2 linked regions of the Saccharomyces cerevisiae S288C genome follow. Changing the gene in region 2 together with the main gene of any one other region gives a genetic interaction. Each region holds a gene or a part of one and is shown on either strand. Other genes may lie near its edges.

Evidence for each region. A genetic interaction does not mean that the proteins touch.
Region 1: of MNT2 (region 2) and TLD1, extra expression of one rescues a mutant of the other (dosage rescue), as found in Saccharomyces cerevisiae (one study listed by BioGRID).

The regions. Positions count from the first base shown.
Region 1 is NC_001136.10:1,010,345-1,014,063, forward strand, and holds TLD1 (triglyceride-associated lipolysis regulator TLD1), read left to right. Parts: upstream 1-1,907; coding exon 1,908-2,615; downstream 2,616-3,719. Other genes in the region: DON1 (Don1p), read left to right, coding at 1-929; YDR274C (uncharacterized protein), read right to left, coding at 1,245-1,616; PMP3 (Pmp3p), read right to left, coding at 3,132-3,299.
Region 2 is NC_001139.9:9,732-18,147, reverse strand, and holds MNT2 (alpha-1,3-mannosyltransferase MNT2), read left to right. Parts: upstream 1-3,990; coding exon 3,991-5,667; downstream 5,668-8,416. Other genes in the region: alcohol dehydrogenase ADH4, read right to left, coding at 1,841-2,989; VEL1 (Vel1p), read right to left, coding at 6,418-7,038. UniProt on the Saccharomyces cerevisiae protein: Mannosyltransferase involved in adding the 4th and 5th mannose residues of O-linked glycans.

The DNA of each region.
Region 1 (3,719 bases), on a different chromosome or scaffold from region 2:
AGGAACATGTAAACACGAAAACTGACAGCAATATTCTCGATTATCCCACCATAGGCGATTTAGTTTCCTCAGTAGAGAAATTATGTGTCTTGAAAGAATTGAAGATAGCATTTCCAGAAGTAGATGATACATTAATTAAAGCCATTTTAATTGCCTCCCAAGGGGTTTTGGAGCCGGCATTCAATTCTTTACTCTACTACTCAAGTCCGGAGGAAAACACTGACTTTGCATTACCAATGAAGCCGATAAGTGTGGAAGACTATAGTAAAATAAATGTGTCTGAGATTTTGCAACGTGAAATATTCGATGATATTGAAGACGAATTTTCTGGTCAAGGAATAAATGGCTCCATGGTAATTTCAAAAATTGAATCAGAACTAAGTTCTTTGGCCGAACACATTGGCAACATTAGCACCCCCGGATCGAATAGAGAAGTCGCCGAATCGACTAGGAACGTGGCTGTTGCAGAGGGCCATAATACAATTTTATCAAACGAAGATAGTATACTCAAGGGAAAAGAGAAGGGAAAAGAGGAGGAAAAGGAGAAGGGAGAAGAAAAGGGAGTTAACAGCTTAAAAGGCGCCGCTGTGAAAGTTGTTGCGAAGTCATTGAAGAATAATCGCATTCCCGTCACTGTGAAGAGAAATGAGCCTTCAAACAATTTATTTGACGTTTTAAACTGCGACGAAAGCGAGGAAGAAGAAGAGCAAGATGTCGAAACCAATACGTCGAATCAAGAAAGGAAGAACCAGGGCGGTAATACTGAAGTGCCGGAGGCTCAGCGTGACAGTGCAGATAGGTTACCTGCCAAGGACGACGGTGGATACAAATCTGCCTTTGGCACTGATAGTTGTGGTCTATTTGCAGCTGACGCTAAAGATGAAAAAAAGCAGGTTCATCCATCTAGACAAGAATTAAGTTTTACGTAGTGTATAGCGGTAATGTTTATTAACTCTTTCGGCAAAGTGCGTTTGGGCTCGCAATGAACAGACACCACCATTGCTTCTTCTGCGCTTATTTGCCTTTGTTGTATATCTAGTTCTCAAAATGGAGTCATTCATCAGTCGATGTGTGGGCGGAAATGACGTTCATCTAGCAATGGCACACTAGTTTTTACTCAACAATTCAAACTCAATGGAAAGCCAGGAAGTTAGCGCCGGGAAACTTCAGGACAATATAAAAACAGGACTAACGGAAGAAAATAATGTGGGCCTTTTTGAGCAACGCTGACGGTAAGTAGTTTCCTACGATCGTACAATCCCGGAAAATTGTAGTGGTGCAAGAAGGGAAAAGAATGATGGCGAAAAATGCACGCGCGTAAATAATGATTTGTCGAGTCCTATTGACCACAAAACCCGCGGAAACCTAGTTAGCCCAAAAGGAAATGGATAGCATATGAAAAACGAAACGAAACGTCCTTTTGCACGGCAGAAAGAGCTTAGTAGGACCCGGGACAAATGCAAGTTAGATTCCTTGATTCCCGAATGCTCGGTCTTGCGTTTCGCCGTGGCTGCATGGAAGGTCATCGTACGGGTACGGGCAGTCTGGCTGAGTGGTGCCGCCAAAGTGCAATAGCTGTCAGTAGGGCGTGAGGAATGTAAAAGGCAAGAAAACATGTACGAGGGAAGAGAAGGGGGCAAAAGAAAGATAATAGGAACGGTGTAGATGAACTAGAAAAGGTTCAAGAGATGATAAACGTGAAGGGAGTGTCATATCTACCGACATAAAGATAGAGATCTTTTTTTTTCCTTTATTTTTTTTTTTGATTTTTTTTTTTGATTTTCTTGATATTAGTTTTTAGAAGTCCTTTGACGGGGCAGCCGGAGAATATATACCAACGGCATTCTATTGTCTTTTTTTCTTCCTTCCTTGCCAGGCATCTGCATCCATTATTGCCTTTAGTTACAATGTTTTTTTTCCCGAAGCTTAGAAAACTTATAGGTTCAACTGTGATCGATCACGATACCAAGAACTCATCAGGAAAGGAAGAGATCATGTCAAATAGCCGATTAGCACTTGTTATTATCAACCACGCCTTTGATAAGGTACTATCTTTGACGTGGCACTGCGGGATATTATCCGAAATAAGATCAGGACTGATGTTAATGTTTGGCATTTTCCAGTTGATGTGCTCTTTGGGTGTCATCGTATTGCTGTTGCCTATTATCATACTGGACGCGATCGATCTATTCCTCTACATGTGCAGGTTGCTTGATTACGGTTGCAAGTTATTCCACTACAATAGATCATCATTACCGGTGGCAGATGGAAAAGAAAAGACCAGTGGTCCCATAAGCGGAAAGGAGGAAATAGTTATTGATGAGGAGATAATTAATATGCTAAATGAATCCTCAGAATCATTGATCAATCATACTACAGCTGGTCTGGAATATGATATTAGTTCAGGTAGTGTTAACAAAAGTAGGCGTTTGAATTCAACTAGTACAGTTACATTTGTGAAGCAGAATAAACTTGTTAATGAAAGGAGGGAAGACGCCTACTACGAGGAAGAGGATGATGATTTCCTATCAAATCCGAATTATGATAAGATATCATTGATCGAAAAATCATTCACGAGTCGTTTTGAAGTGGCTTGTGAGCAGAAAGCTGCTTAAATTGATAATCAAGGTCAAGGCAACGCAACGCCACTGCTAAGAACACTTATTGCTACAGAAAGGAAACTAAAAATAATTATAAGGCTAGAGAGAAATAAAAACAAAATAAGAGAGATAATATGGGTAAGGGTCTGCCACCCATCTGATAAAAGGCTGTTCTATCTTTTGGAACTCTACAACACAGGTAAACGGATGATACTGGCTATATTTATATAGATAAACAAACTTGCAGGACAGATAGTTAAGCGTCTATATCATGTGTATTTTAAGCGAAGAAAAAAGTACAAAAATGATAAAAGGCAAAAAAGATGAGAAGTTTTTTTTGTGATAAAATTAATTATTAAAAAATACACACGTAGTTAAAATTAACAGCGGGGGAGGAAACCTTAAGAGAAAGAGAAACAAAAAAAAAGAAAGGAAACAAATAAAAATGAGGGTGACCCGAACATGTTGATACCGTTTCCTAATACTGCTTCCTTATTTCATTTGATAGTTACTTTCGTTTATTGAATGAGCTTAATCTTGTAGGACAATGTACAAGGCATATAGCATACCTGGGAACCAAGCCAAAATGGTCAAAATGATATCCACTATACAGTCAGTACCCCACCCACGGGCTAGAAAAACGGCGACTGGTGGTAAGAAAAGGGATAATATAATGTTAATGATCTTGGCAGAATCCATTGTTGTATTGTGCTGTGCTGTTTAGTTCAAAATGTATAATCAATTGTATTATACTGGCGAAAAACAACAACCGATAGTAAATTTTCTTCTTTTTTTCCTTTCCCTCTTCCAAAACAAAAACACTCACTTCCTCTTTTGTATTTATAGAGGCGCCCATCGCAAAATAACCAGGACCCCCTTTTGAGGGCGTGGTTAAAGGGCACCCAGAGCCCACACCCATTGCATCTTCCGCTATTAGGGGACTGCGGAAGTGAGGGGAGCAGTAAATAGTGATCTTTGTAATTTTCTGCAAAATCCCTCTCGCTGTCTCGGGTTTTTCGATTCAGAGGACCTTCCCCCCCCCATGTTCCGAGATCGGTTTTGGTGGTTAGAAGGCCGGAGGAAAGACATTTACCGCTTGCGCGCGGCTTCTTCTGTATG
Region 2 (8,416 bases):
TTCTTTGGAAAACGTTGAAAATGAGGTTCTATGATCTACTGCGGCAAGTTCATCTTCCAAGGAGAACATAGAATAAATTTGGTACTGGAACGTTGATTAACTCTTCATGAATTTTTTTTAATTAGGAACTTTCATAGTAGATTAGCCAACTATTCTTAATGGTTACTATATAAAAACAGAAAAGAGGGGCCGTTTCTTGTGATATAAATATTACCTGTAATTTTCATTATTATGGTTTAGTTATAGAAGTTCATCATTAAAAAACTATCAGTAAATTTTAATTAAAACTTTCGCGAGAAGAAGGTACATGATCATTTTGAATAAACAAAAAAAATGTTTCGACCTAGTATTCGATAAATAAACATTTATTTGCTGACAATTTTTAAGATTTCATCGTCTCAAAAAGATAATATAATTTATTGTGCACAATATTTTGGATTTCTCTATGAGCAACTCAACGATCTTAGAGAATAATACTATTGTACGTTGTATATAATAAACATTGATAGCATTAGCACTATACAATAGGAAATATTCGACTCTACTTCCGAGAATAATGAAACTGGTCTGATATAATATTTGGATCACCGAAAGCTGGCCAAGAGATTGCTTACTTCCAGTGATGTGGACGAGAAAACCGTGTGACACCGTCCGCTACTTTCTACTATTGTCAGTTGGTCGGTTATTTGTGCTGTGTCATGTATTATGTACCTGGTCGGAGATCTTATAGTATATTTTGAGTATTGCTATTTGGAGTCTTCATAACGGCTTCTATGAAAAAGATTCATTTGTCGATATAAATATCAAATAAATATCATTAGCTCTTAGAAATATTTGAAAAGTACATACTACTTTCCACGAATGTACAGATTTATTTATCAGGCATGCTGCTGATATCGTCACAGTAGTTCAGTAATAATCATCGCTCTTGAATAACGCAAAAAGTATATTCTTAAGCTCATCTGAATGATAAGCCTTTTTCACTTAACATTTGCTTAAAATTTTTAGCAATGTACTGATACTTTCTCCTAAATCAACTGTATTTTAATTCGTTCGGAAATCATGTTTATGTCAAAATTTACTAGCCATTCCAATAATGTATTTATTATTAAATATATATATACTTCAAGGTCTGATGGGGGTGCTGTAGCATTTGCGATGTAGCGATAGCAATTGAAAATAAAGTGGGCTCCTTGTAATAATGCGGCTGGTAAGGTTACATTGCCGTTGTGTTTCGAGGTTATAATAAAGACAGCTATATCATAAAACGAATAAAAAAATATGCGCATGTGAATGACACACGAAAGTAATCGGATTGACGTTGCTTATAACAGGTTGAAAATTAGAGATATCAAACCAAAAAAAGGAAGACAATATCATTGACAGAATTCAGTGTGGCGGTGGATTGATTTAGATTGACTCAAAATTTTCGACATTGTCTGGTTGACGATGCCTTGTTTAATTGCAAAAGGCCTTCGAATTTCATTTTATTTCTTGCATCCAACTGAAACCCACCATATTAAAGCATGACTTTTGCATGACTATTTTTCAGTCTTAAATGCTTCAAAGCCAACAGTATGTCAGTAATTAAGTCCAAACTATTTTCAACAAACGTACCGGTCTCGGCTCATTAATAGAACTTCCGTTCTTCTTTTTTCAATTTAAAACAACGTAGATATATATTTTCATTGTTATATACTCGAAATTAACGTAATTATATAGATCGTGAAAAGTTAAAAAAATCATTTGATTGGTAAATAAATAAGTGCATTATACTGTACGCACAACTAAATAAATAAGGCACACGCATAATTGACGTTTATGAGTTCGTTCGATTTTTTTAATATTCATAGGCTTTCTTGATAATGGCAACCACTTGTTCTTTGGTGAATTGAACTGGGTTAGTCAAATGGCAGGCATCATGCATGGCGTGTTCAGCCAAAATTTCAAAATCTTCGGTTTTAACACCTAATTCTTTCAAGTTTCTTGGAATGTTCATGGTTCTGTTTAAAACGTGCAAAGCCTTGATGGTTTCTTCTGGATCTTCTTGAGAAGCACCGAAATGCAAAGCAATTTCACCTAATCTCTTCTTGGCCTTTGGACATTGCATGTTGGCCTCTTGAACATGAGGCAACAAGACAGCGTTACAAACACCATGAGGCAAGTGGTAGAAACCACCAAGTTGATGAGCAAGGGCATGAACATAACCTAGAGAAGCATTGTTGAAAGCCATACCTGCCAAGTATTCAGCGTAACACATGTCAGTTCTGGCCTTCTTGTCTTTACCGTCTTTGTATGCAGCGACTAAGCTTTCATTGATCAAATCAATACCCTTCAAAGCACAGGCATCGGTGATTGGGTTAGAGGCGGTGGAAACATAAGCTTCGATACAGTGAGTCAAAGCATCTAGACCAGTAGCAGCAGTCAAAGCAGGTGGCAAACCAAACATGGTAGATGGATCGTTGACAGCAACAGCTGGAGTGACGTTGTTGTCAATGATAGCCATCTTGATTTTCTTTTCTTCATTAGAGATAATAGTGAATCTGGTCATTTCGGAAGCAGTACCAGCAGTAGTGTTGATGGCAAATAGTGGTAAAGCAGCCTTCTTAGATTGATTGACACCTTCATAGTCTCCGATTTCCCCACCGTTAGTAGCCAATAAAGCAATGGCCTTAGCATTGTCGTGAGCAGAACCACCACCAATGGAAACAACAATTTCAGAGTTTTGTTCCTTCAAAACCTTCAAACCAGCTGTGACATTGGCAATATTTGGGTTTGGTTGAGTTTTGTCATAGATAGCAACGTTTAAGTCACGTTCTTCCAACATCTTTTGGACTCTACCGGAGAGACCAATAGCTGCAATACCAGGATCAGTAACGATCAAAGCCTTTTTGTAATCCTTGTTTTTGATGTAATCAGCGGTTTCTTCTAAAGCACCTTCACCAAAGAAAGAGATTGGTGGAATGTAAAACCCAGTAACGGAAGACATTTTTCTTATTTGACTATTAGTTGTTGCAAATGTAAACTTGTTGTTGATGGTTGTTTTGCAATAGACAGAAGAAAAACGTTTGACTCCAGTCTTTAATAAACCAGAAATGCTAATAACCCTTTTATACATGTTGGTACGCTGCCCTTTTTTCCTGTTTGATAAAAGAATATATCCTAGTAGTGTGAGATATTTGAGGCAGCAAAATATCAATTGCTTTGTAGAGTTAACGGCATACGTGATCCCAAGCATCTGACATATTAAACACGTACCTCGTGATGCGCGAACTAAAAACTAGTTCTTTTTTTTTTTTTTCATAGCTAATCCACTGCGGTGATACTACAGCCATCATCACAAACACTGCTAACAGTTATAACCATGTCAACATCACACTACAAAAAATGGCCTCCTTGGAGAAAATAAAATGGAAGCTCATTGAAGGCCTCCGGGGATCCTTCTGAACACAAAACGCAATTTCAAATCAGCAGCCTCAATTATACTGGTTGCTTAACCGTGAAGGTTCATTTAAGTACTTCTACTTTTTACAAACGCTCGATAACCTTTCAAGTAGTGCGCATAACAGCTGATGCATTAGAAAAAAATTTTCACACGATAGAACTGTAACGCACTACGAAACTAAGCAATATGGCGTAAACACACAAAGACTAAGGGACTTCTTGATTGATTTCTATCAGCAGCGTTCTCCGAATTGTAAATAATAAGTACATTATTAGTGGGCCTTAGGCAACTCTTTGAAACGGAAATTCTTGTTTACATTTTTCATTTTCCCGAGACGAAGTTTTGATGAGCCACACAATACCGGTAAAGAAAGAAAGAAGTACCTGGAACTAAAACAGTGCTAATTCTTCTTTCCTTTACTTTAGGGGTGGGGACCATCGAAGTGGGGGGAGACAGCAAATCTCTCAATTGAGTAAAATATTCGCATGAGTGTTTGCAAATCCGCAGTGACAGGACAAAAGTAGCCCCAATAGTATTTATCGAATATGAGAAGAAAAAATCGACTGTTTATATTAGTTGTACTACTGGGAATTGTGTTAGTAGTATATTACTCTCAGTTGAATTCGTTAGATTTGGTAGAACCAGTTCAAAGTAGCAGCAGTGGCAATGGTGGCTGCTGGAGTTACTATGAAGGTCTTACGCCTGGGTGGTTGAATGACTTCTACGACGTAAATCAAATAACCCCGAATCCTGCAAAAGATGTGATTGAACTGGTTACGAGGATTAAGATTTTTTTTAATTGCTTGCAGCAGGTTGATGGGCATAATATTCAGCGTTTGAGGGATATTGAAAAGAAGCTCTTTCCGTATATTAACTTTGAAAAATTAGAAACTGATGAAAGTGCCTTCTGGCACACAACTACGAGATGGAATGGCGAGGTTTACCATGCGTCTATGTTGGAATTTGACCCCAAAAACCATCAATTCCTTCGTTCTAAGCCCATCAATTTCGATACAGGGCTATCTTTTTGGGAGAATTGGTTGCACACTGTGACTCAAAGTGGTTCGAAAGGCATAGTTATTAGTGCTTCTGACGTGCAGTTGAATGAAACCATACGCTTATTGAAAGTGTTGAGGTTCATCAAAAATGATTATCCTATACAGATTGTTCATAATGCAGATCTGAGTCAAGATTCCATGAAATCTATTATCAAATATGCGAGAAGTCTAGACACCGCTGAATATCCTGCTCAAGAATTATGGTTTTTAAATGTACATAGTCTGCTAAACCCGAAATATTCGAAAAAATTTACCACCTATTCCAACAAGTGGTTAGCATTGACCTTCTCATCCTTTGAAATTCCTATTCTAATGGACTCAGATACAGTGCCCTTTGTTTCAATAGAAAAATTTTATGAATTAGAGGAATTTCAAAAGACTGGAGTTCTATTCTTTAAAGATCGGGTAATATCAGATGATCTATTTGAATCCTCTGAATTAAAAATTCTAAGGGAAATTGTCTATGGGTGTATTGGGCTTGATTTAGAGGATGAATCCAAGATACATGAGCAAGTAGAGGATCCAGTGGTTGCACAGGTTCTGGAAAACATGTTTATAAAGAAATATAAACATCATTTGGAAAGCGGCCTGGTAATATTGCATAAAGGAAAGCATCTCTTCAGTATGCTTACTTCAATAGCTTTACAATTTTCTCCAATTGCAGAATATTTTCATGGTGATAAGGACTTTTTTTGGCTGGGCGAATTACTTTCGAACAATCGCTTTACGTTCCATCCTGTGGATGCATCAAACATTGGTCAGTTGGGCAATGTAGTTTCAAAAGAGAGTACCGGTGAGTTTTACCAGATTTGTTCTGTGCAACTATCTCATACAGACAGGGACGGGTCCTTGCTATGGCTAAACGGGGGCCTTAATATTTGTAAAAAAACTTCATGGGAATACGATTATGAGCATAGACAGAGACTAAATGATATGTTCCAAAATGCAGATGAATTACGTGAATATTATGCATCACCAGTAAAACTTGAAGGGATTATAATACCAGATACTAGTATATCAGGATGGATTAACTCAGGAGAGTGTTTTTTGTTCAATTATTGCACATTATTCAAGGAAGGTGAGTTTGGAAAGTTGATCAAATTTAAAGAAGACGAAAAGCTCCGGCTTTCACAAATAGTCGACATATGGAATAAAGATATTTGACCAAGAGTTGTTCTAGTCTTATAAGCAATAGGTAAACCTACACGCTTTTGTTGTATAATGTAGTATAATTTTTGATATCTGAAAAATTATCGCACTGAAGTATAACGTAATGTTTTGTAACGAAGTTACTCTTTAAGTAAATCACTCTTGGCATGCATTGGATAACATAGCCATGATGCAACGCCAGCAAAAATCCAAATTGATTGCAATAGGGAACTATGAAAAATCTGGTACTCCCGGCCACGCTAAAATGATTTTCCACTAAGGTGTTCCTAAAACCTTTCGGATCCTTTATGTCTCTGGCATCATAAATGTCTGTTTAAATTAAAGTATATTGAATTGGTGTTGAAATTCAGCATAATCGAACCACTCTCATGTGGGATGTAGCATCATTCTTAACGCTTTTACTATGCGATCGCCACTTTTAAATGTTGGAAATTGTGAATAATTTACTTTTATCTTGTAGGCAAACCGATCATATTCTGCAAAATTTTGAAAATCCATATCTAGATGCACTGTATTGCACTTTTATATTATAAAGAATTATATGTAATAAATCGACAATAAATAACGCATCGTAACAAAAAGAACTCGAAAATTTTAAATCAGGGTCAGAAGAAAGTAGAAATGCCTAAAGGAAATCGATTGTACTTTACAGTTAAAAATAACTTCCGCATGGCTTTCTCAAAAGATTTTTGTCTATAACGAAAATAATCAAAACATATCTATAAGTGAGGATGTGAGAAAAGATTAATCAAAACCAGCTTCTGGTGGACAAACGGCCTTTAGCTGAATGGCGGTACAATAATCTGGTAATGTGTCATCCTTACCGAAAATATTCACAGCTGGGGTGCTTAAGATAACAGAAGCAAAATTTGGGTAACAGGAAGCAACTTGAACGCCATAATCGGTAGAGTTGAACAATTGGTTAGCTAAACCGGTTATGAAGGAAGCGTTATCAGCAGTGTCTGCCCAAGAGTTATATTCAATTTCACCAGTAACAGTGTTAGCAAAAGGAACCATAGCGTCACCAATGGATTGAGGGTTACAAGTGTTGATATTGGTGGTGAAGATGAGTGGAGAAAAGTTCTTTGTCTCGTTACTAGCAATAGTAGTCAACTTTGGGAGGAATCTTGTTTCCTGGCCCAAATATCTTGCCCAAGCATCACCAGCGCTTTCAGTCAAGACGTCGGCGCCAACAAACGTAGATTGACCCAAAAATGTACCGTTTTGACCAACGACTTCCATAACGTAGGTACCACAATGAGGTCCATGTAGGCCCTTACAGGTAACGTTAGTCAAATCAAATCTGACGGTTGTTGCAACAGAAATAAGGACGCTGAAAAAAGTAAAAATGCTTAGGAAACTCATGGTATGGTTGTTGTTCTTGATTTCTTGAGATTGTACAATCTATCAGAAGCAGTAGCTCTCCATTTTGAATGAAAATTACGATGCTTATATATCAATTATACCTGTTATATGCTGAAAACCTTAATGATAATATTAACCTTTTTCTAGCAACTGAAAATACAGATCTGGAATATGTTTCTATATTTCCAACCTCAGCGGTTATTCGAAAAAAAAAATAATTGACCCGCAGGGTGTATAGGTAGTTGATGAAAGTATCATTGTTTTTAATTTATTGTTAAAAGTCCGAAAAGCGAGAATGCATGAAATTACTACCTTCCATTCCAGGAATAGAAGCAACACTAATTCAAAAGCCCGTTTAGGAAAGATCCGAATATTTTGACAGTAGTACGTAATGAATAACCACTCAGGTCATACTAAGACAAATTTTATAACATTTTAATGTGTTCCTGATTTGATTATGCAACACTTTTTTTGACCCAGTCCAAAAAACTGCCGTAATGTACTTCATTGGTTGTCGTACAAGTAAGCTTTAACATGGTTCTCGAAGTCAAAGCACAAACATGCGGCCAATAGGTCAAAATAATGGTAAGATACTGCAAAACTCACTTCACTTGATTGAAAAAAAGTTGCTTATTTCATGACGGACAGATTTAATTCTGGACAATTTGGTTCTGTTGAATTCGGAAATGCTCAGGGTTCATCATGCCATAGTGCCACTTCAATAGAAGACAATACCTTTGAGAAAAAAAGGTACCTTGCATGAGGTATGATGCACGGGTGCACTGTTTAAAAAAACTTCAAAGTATACATGTAAAGATCGCTATAGCTGAGCGGCCAATTAGAAAATATATGGTAAAAGAAAGAAGAAGTATTAATATAAGCGAGATATCTCAATTGGAACATTTCATATACGTTTTCACTGTAATAATTTATCAAGGACTCTCCGGAAATTTTGCGATTGCCCTCAAACTCTACGGAAGAATTTTACACTTGTAAAACTCATCACATTATCTATCGTAGCGATAATATTTCCAAAAATGTATAATCCTTCCTTATAAGTTTATTATTTGTATATGAAGCCGCAGAGTACAATGTAATAAATACGAATAGGAGATAGGACCTATGAGTATAACTCGTATTACCACTATAGCTCCTCTTGTTGTCTATCAAAAAACTTGCTGTCTTACACAGTAGTACAATGCGAAACTATATGGCTCTTCTTTAATTATGAAAGAAAATAAGATGTGAAGCACAGCAATGAATAGGAAAAAGAAGAACGATATATGCAACCTTTTTTTTTTTAGGGGCCATTTTGCTAGAACTGCCCCCACTTGGGAAAGAACTAACACCATCGCCTTGCATTCCAGTGACAAGCAAT